2 linked regions of the Xenopus tropicalis genome follow. The protein of the gene in region 2 interacts with the protein of the main gene of each other region in a pairwise test. Links are inferred from orthologs where the notes say so. Each region holds a gene or a part of one and is shown on either strand. Other genes may lie near its edges.

Region 1 (4,348 bases), on a different chromosome or scaffold from region 2:
TTAAAACCTTTGAAGGACATTCTGCCATACAGGAAATCTTCACATGGCAGAAAACTCCTTTCTTCAATGATATAACTCCTGCAAATTAAAGGAAATGTATATTTAGGGAATGCTATATTTTAATAAATTTGATGGCTTTGAAGGCTGATGTACAAAAAAGTCTTTGTGGACTGTGCCTCCCTAACCCAGTATTATCATATATATCATATTATCATGTATAACACTCAGGTATAAGTAGTTTTTTATGCATTTTTGTTAACATGATACAGACACCTCTAAATGGAGTTTGGACATCATTATAATTCCTACGTTAAACTAAAAAGTTTTTTAGTTGGACAAAGTATATACATCGGACTGCTGTATGTGTGTTTTAACGTGCTAAGGCAGGGCTGTCAGTTGCAGTTCCCATGAAGAGTATTCACCTTTAACAGGTAGCAAAAATTATGCATTTAAAATATAATGTTAGCATTAGTAATATGTGTTGCTACTATCTTACATGAGGATAAGACTAATATCGGACCTTTGCTTGAAGTCTGGCATGTTAGAATTCTTTTCTTTGTGTTGACAGTATGACATTTTTTAACATAATTTTATGGTTTCCTTTGTCATATTAATTTATTTGTTTTGAATGTATCTATTTGCCTCTTACTCTTTCTCTTTAAGTTCTGGTAAATCCAAGTACCAGTGCTCATCACTGATTATCTTCTTCTCATCTTCTTCTAACTGCTTTTTGGTCTCTGCATCAAGGGTGCGCTGCATAAACTAAAGAGACAGACAAAATAGATAAATATATACAAACATAGGTATGTTAGTCTTGTAATAAAGTCCCTCACAGTAATATAAAATAACAGGCAAAGAAAAAACTAAATACTTCAGAACCTAAGCTTGAAGAAAATAAATGAATTAAAAAAGCGCATCTTTAAGTTTTTCCATAAACAAATAATCACTTGATAATAAGGTCATCAAATTAGTAGTGTAAAGATGATATGAACCTAAAAATAACATCCCTAATAAAAGAAATTGTACAATACCATGGTGTCTGTATGTACAGGAAGGTCATATCCAATATCTTTAAGCAAATAATAATTTGATTTTCTTTGTAATAATGAGACAGTACCTAGTATTGATGGTAACTAAGCTAGCATAAATCCATGTTGGTAGGAAAGCAATACTATTTTTTTTTTGTTATTTTTTGTTGTTGTTAACATATAGTAATCCAGACTGTAGAAAGACCTCAGATACAGAAAACCACAGGTCTGATGCATTTTGGACAATATATCTCAACAAGAAACCAAATATGCAACACATTCTTAAAATGAATATATACAATTTGGCATTAAAAGCACTTTAAATCAGTGAAGTCATGGAAACACTCGTAACACCATAACATTTTATGGTATAAAAATGGATCAGAAAATGTGTTATTTTATAGTGAGTTTAGTCCAGTGAACCCTTGTAGGGAGTAAAACTTTAAAAAAATATATATATATTTGACAGACTATTGTCCAAATTAAGTCCATTTTTACAAAATTTCTACAGCACAATCAGAACTAGTAGCAAAACTCTGTCACAAAGCTGTCAATCTTATAATACAGGTCATTCACTCTAAACAAAAAAAAAAAATCATATTTCTAAATCTGGATGGAGGCATAATAAGATGCCATAAGCATTTCTACAGATCATAAATCTCTGAGGTGGCTTTTAATGTAAATATTTACAGGAGAAGGAAAGTTACAATCACCGAGGGATGCTAAAATGTTAGGTGCCCCCCAGTGAATGTAATAACTTACCTGATGCCCGGGGTGGTGCTCCTGTTAGCAGAAAACTGTAGTTTCTAATTGGGGCTGTCTGGGACAGCTACTAGCTGTCATACCTTTTAAAATCAGCACAAATACAGTATAGAAATCTGAAATTTTACTATAATAAACACAGACCATTATGGAAGTGAACAGGTCCATAGTGAGACCAAAGACAGGACATGGCATTTTAAGTTTACAGAGGCCCAAACAGACTCCCCAAAGGCCCAATAAATAGTGTCTGTCTATGTACGGCATGTTACAGCCACCCTCTGGCATTTGCCAGTCCAAGTCTGTTAGCGAATTACCCTCAGTATGTAGCCCTTGCTTATTCCCCTGGAGAGAACAATTGACCGGCAATATATGGATATTGAATAGTATATAGGCAATATATGGATATTGAACTAGTGTGTGAATACTAATTGGCACCACAGTGAATATTGCTTTCCTGATTCTTGATCTTGGTGTATTGTAATGCTGTGTATTATATGGACAACATGTACCCCTTCAATACACAAATACCTACACTATATACACCTACAAATACGTATATATTGCCTCGATATCCATCCTCTCTATATCCAAGACTAAAAATGAGCTTAGACTTTAGCGATATATACATATAATATTGCGTGTAATACGGGTTTTTTGTGATCGAAATACTCGTGTATCGTCAGCATTAGTGTTGTAAAACCACTGCATTCTCGACAATACACTGTACTGAACTTACAACCCGCAACCGATCGATAACATAACCATATGTGCGGAGTATATTTTGGCTACTGTAGGTGAATGTCCTAAAATGGACACCGTACATGCGAGAGGGAACGTACCAAAAGCCTGTCTGACTGCTAATACATACACCATGTTTTCAAATATTAACACTTCCCTTACTACAGATGCGCATTGTCTACCGATGCCCACCAATAATTACCTTCATACGCAGCAAGTTTTTGGACAGCTTTCCAACTTCTGCAGCCATGATGTGTCAGCCGTGGCAACACGCTACCCACTTTCGCTTCTTCCTTCACACGCTGTCCCAGGAATGAGAATCGAACCCCTGAATCGTCGAGCAGGCTTTAACAGGACGATCAGTCTCTGAGAAGCCGTTGCTAGGTGACCGAGACCCGCTGGTTTATAATAGCTACAAGCACGTTCGGCCCAGGTAGTTTCTGGGGAAAGTGTGGTGCCAGGAATCCATTTGTAGTTTACAAAAAACGAACTACGTGTATAAAAAAAGGAAACCAGTCTATTGGCTTACCATTTCTACCAGGAGTGCAGAAACTCTCTGGCTTTTCTGTGCCAGGCACTAGGGTTTTACATCTTCTAAATGAAAAAAAAAAAAAATGAAAACAAGTAGGTAATATATATGATGATGCTGATAAAATGAAAGTCTATATAAATTGTAATATTTAATATTATATACATTGGTGTAGCTAGATTTTAGTGTGCCCTAAATTATAGGAGTCTACCAAGATATATTGAAATTGCTTATTTATTAGAGCCTTAAGGTCCCCATACATGTTGAGATTCACTTGCTTGGCGAGATCGCCAAGCGAGCGGATCTTCACCCAATATCCCCACCTACGGGTTGGCGATATATAGAGATGTAGCGAACTGTTTGCCGGCGAACTAATTCGTGCGAACATCGGGTGTTCGCGAGTTCGGAAGTTCGCGAACTTTTCGCGTATGTTCGCAATTTGGGTTCGCGTGGCGTTTTTCCGCAAATCCCGTTTCCATGGTGCTAATAGTGCGAAATAGCAAAAAACGCCGCGTATTTCCGCTAGGTCTGCCAGCTGCCTTTGCGGTTTTACGCAACAATGTGTCAACAAAGTATTTTTCAGATAAAAATAGATCGATATCAGCTCGATATCAGCAGCTACTATTGGCCTGTGTATGGGGACCTTTACAGTTCCCATACTTTACTGAACCTGTCTGCAATTGCAGGGTCTACTTCTGTAGGATTATACAACAAAGCTTCTTTTGTACTAAATCATTATAAAGGCTGACTACACCAGAGAACCGTCAGGTATACTGCGTTGTATAGGTTGGGTCCGGAAAGCCGTTATCTAGAAAGTTCCAAATTATGGAAAGCTCATCGCCGATAGACTCCATTTTAATAAAATAATTCATTTTTTTTTTTTTTTAAATTTCCTTTTTTTAAGATTTTTTAGTAGACTTTAAGATATAGAGATGCAAATTATGAAAAGAAACCTTATCTGGAAAACCCCAGGTCCTGAGCAATCTGGTCACATACTTGTACCACAAAAATCTCATCATGCTACTGCATAGCAAGCAAGATTTTGTAGCATGATACAATATATGATCCTCCATTGTGTTAAGTTAAAATTTCCCGGATGACGTTAAATATTTTTTTATGCATCTGCACCCCACAGTCAAAGTATTTCAATGAGATAAAATAAGTATATCAATTTTTATCTAGCTGAATGAAAATGGAACATGCAATTTTCTCTTCTGACAAATCTGTTAAGTAATTTAGAGAACAGATTTTAATAGTTAAATTAGATATACAGAATACAGTCTGTCAAAAC
Region 2 (3,258 bases):
TAGTGCATGTGGACAGGAATGATAATACAACACAGGGTTGATTATTATGGAAAAAAGGCTTCCTTGTTTTTAATTGAAACTTCCAACTTGTTACATTATGTAATACAGGAATAGGATCCATTATCCAGAATGCTTGGGAACTTTGGTTTTCCAGTGATCCAGCTTTTTTGTGGGGAAAAAGCATGCATTGTCCTATGATTAAGCCGCATCACTACTAGCAATGTTTTACTTGCGGCATACTGAAGAGTAGGCAAGGGAAAGGCATTTTCGGGAGATTTGACGGCTGTGGTGACACATTTACCACAGGCACCAAATCTCTCTGTGTGTTAGTACCCTAAAGGTGGCCATACACGGACCGATTTTTAACTTACAAACGACCGATTCCCGAACGATCCGATGCTATCGTTAAGTTATCGTATAGTTGGTGGTGTACGAACGATCGTCGGCCCACTAAACGAGCCGACATTAACGTCCCCAAAATCGATCGGCCAGGTTTAAAAATTTTTGTCGTTTAACGATAAAATCTGCCAGTTGGTGTGAGTGTCAGACATTTGTCTTTCAACGATTGTTCTCTGCGCATGTCACGATTGCCAGCAACGACATCGATCGTACGTAGATGTACGATCGTAGGTATTTTACGATAATGATGCGACAAAATCTTTCCCGAATTATCGTTGCCCGTGGATGGCATATCGTATGGGAACTCGATCGCCATACGATCGTTTGTCGATATAATCGTTCATCGCACAACGAGCGAAATCGCCTCGTGTATGGCCACCTTAATACAGCTCAAAACCTTGCTGGTCCTTGCTGCTGACTAGCATTGCTTGCTACAGCCAATATTTATTCACAAGTGTCCCTAGGTCCTTTTCCATCAAGAATTTGATTTAGGCCCAAATTTTGCCACTTTTTAACAAATTCAGGTTTACTCACAGGTACAGATATTTTATAATAATGATTTTTCAATATATACTTAACAGGTCATCTTCCTCATGATCTTAGGGAGTGGGTACAATCATTTTGCTGTGGTATATTTTTAAATTCTAAATAAATCATAGCTTACCATGCAGCAGTAAGTAAAGAAACTGTATAGTATTGTGTGTTTTCCCAGGGCTGCAGAATTCAGAGGGAAGTCTGTTCACTGATGAAGAGCCAGTTGTTCCTGTACCTATGAATCCAGCTTTCATACTCTCCAGAGCCAGCATTACAATATTTAATGTAAGTCTATTGCTGCTAGGCTTAAAAAAAAAAGGCTGTTTTGTATTAATAAGATAATGTGTATATGGTTTTACATAGAGACAATTTAGGTAGACTATATTAATTATTTAAATGAGATTTAAGCTTTGTTCTTCTTACAGAAATGAAATTAGGAGTGTATAAATATAAAACTGCTTATTATAGATCACTCTTTTCGACCCCCTGAGGTATTTTTAGCAACAAAATCTATGTGCCCACTTTGAAGCAATGTAGTATTTATCACAAGGGCCTGCACTATTTTACTTCTTAGCTGCCTGTTGTAGGGTTTTGAAGATGAAGAGGTGGTGCCATCAAAGAATTGGCCTGTTTCACAACAGAAGGCAAGAAATATTTTGGAGTCCTTTGAGAACCCATTCAAAATGGTAAATTATTAAATTTTTCTATTAAAGTATACTGGACTAGAAAACACTAGCCCTCATCTAAAGTAATGTATTCTACCTTTTATTCTTAAACCTGCTCTTGTATAGTTTTTGCCACCTGAGGATCGTCGGGCTCATGTATCACAAGCAGCTAAACTGGACCCCAATACAAAAATGTTTGAAGTAAGTACATTCTTCATTCAGCAATGCATATCTTGTGCATTAGTAAGATTCCAGTTGTGCCTAAGATCACCTTACTTTCAAATACTTTATAGATCAGTAAGCAATGGAAGCTTGTAAGCCTGGCACAGCAAGAAAAAGAAGCAAAAGCCAAAGAAGATGCCAGAAGACAGAAAAGGGAAGAAAAGGGTAAATATATAAATTATTGTGCATGTTGATTTCTTTTACAGGTACAATATTTTTAAATGATGGTTAACATTTTCACTCATGTGTTCCATTTACTTTTCATGCAACAGCTGCTCGGGAACAAGCTAAAAGGGATTTTAAGAGCAGTGTAGAAAATCAGAAATCTGTCCGTGAACAAGCAAAGGTGAGTAATATATAACTGTAGCCACACAGCACCTGTGGTGTTAACAATTGCTATTTTAAGCCTAAAGGAAATTTTAGTCATATATTCCCTTTTAAAGGGAATATGTCATGATTTTTGTTGTGCAGTATTTATTATGTGACATTGTGCATTGCAAAACATTCTACCATTTAAAGTTTTTCCTCAAACCAATAAATGTAGCCCTCAGTGGAACGTCGTGAAAAATCACTTATTTCTCTAATTTGATTTAGTAATAAGATACATATACTGCTGCATGAATGATCAAATTCTTTGTACCTGTGAGGTCTATCAGGTGGTCTTGGTATGTTAGCAACATCTGTACTTCCCTGATTGTTAGGATCCTGGAGTTGATGGTACAGGTATAGGACCCGTTATCCAGAATGCTCGGGACCAGGGGTATTCTGGATAAGGGATCTTTCCGTAATTTGTATCGCAATACCTCAAGTCTACTAAAAAATCAACAAAACATTTATTAAAACCAATAGGATTGTTTTGCCTCAAATAAGGATTATTTATATCTTAGTTGGGATCAAGTACAAGGTACTGTTTTATTGTTACAGAGAAAAAGGAAATCAGTTTTCAAATTCTGAATTATTTGATTAAAATGGAGTCTATGGGAGACGGGCTTTCCGTAATTCGGAGCTTTCTGGATAATGGGTTTCCAGATAAGGGATCCTATACCTGTACTTTGTACTTGTAATGTAATGTAATGCTGCTTGTGCTGAAAGCTTTATTTTTCTTTCTAGGCTTTTTTTTTTTTCATTCTAGAATGCAAGCAACAAATGATCGCAGCATATGTGGGTTATTTACAGTTTATTGAAGCATAATTTCTTCTGTTCCTTTTTAAGGATGAAGAATCCAGCAAAAAACGGGAACGTGTGTCTAGTGAACCAGGGTCTGAAACAATGAAATCTGACAAGAAGCGCATCAAGAATTCTGAGGAAACCCAGGAACCTGTTTCTCAAGCACCATTTACACCTTTTGATTATAGCAAGTCAGACTTCAAGATGTTTGCAGGTGTGTTTGTCTTGCATTGAAGGAAAACCAATCGATTACCAGCAACATCAGTAACAG

What was found. The genes of interacting proteins can lie anywhere in the genome.
Region 1: the proteins of exosc10 (region 2) and mphosph6 interact in binary tests that used the Homo sapiens proteins (3 or more experiments, as listed by UniProt). The link is inferred for Xenopus tropicalis from reciprocal best matches to the Homo sapiens genes EXOSC10 and MPHOSPH6.

Annotation. Positions count from the first base shown.
Region 1 is NC_030680.2:63,897,993-63,902,340, reverse strand, and holds the start of mphosph6 (M-phase phosphoprotein 6), read right to left. Parts: upstream 2,815-4,348; 5' UTR 2,779-2,814; coding exon 2,731-2,778; intron 763-2,730; coding exon 650-762; intron 79-649; coding exon 1-78. UniProt on the Homo sapiens protein: RNA-binding protein that associates with the RNA exosome complex. Involved in the 3'-processing of the 7S pre-RNA to the mature 5.8S rRNA and play a role in recruiting the RNA exosome complex to pre-rRNA; this function may include C1D.
Region 2 is NC_030683.2:64,875,947-64,879,204, reverse strand, and holds part of exosc10 (exosome component 10), read left to right. Parts: intron 1-1,093; coding exon 1,094-1,218; intron 1,219-1,520; coding exon 1,521-1,619; intron 1,620-1,724; coding exon 1,725-1,799; intron 1,800-1,891; coding exon 1,892-1,985; intron 1,986-2,092; coding exon 2,093-2,166; intron 2,167-3,032; coding exon 3,033-3,201; intron 3,202-3,258. UniProt on the Homo sapiens protein: Catalytic component of the RNA exosome complex which has 3'->5' exoribonuclease activity and participates in a multitude of cellular RNA processing and degradation events.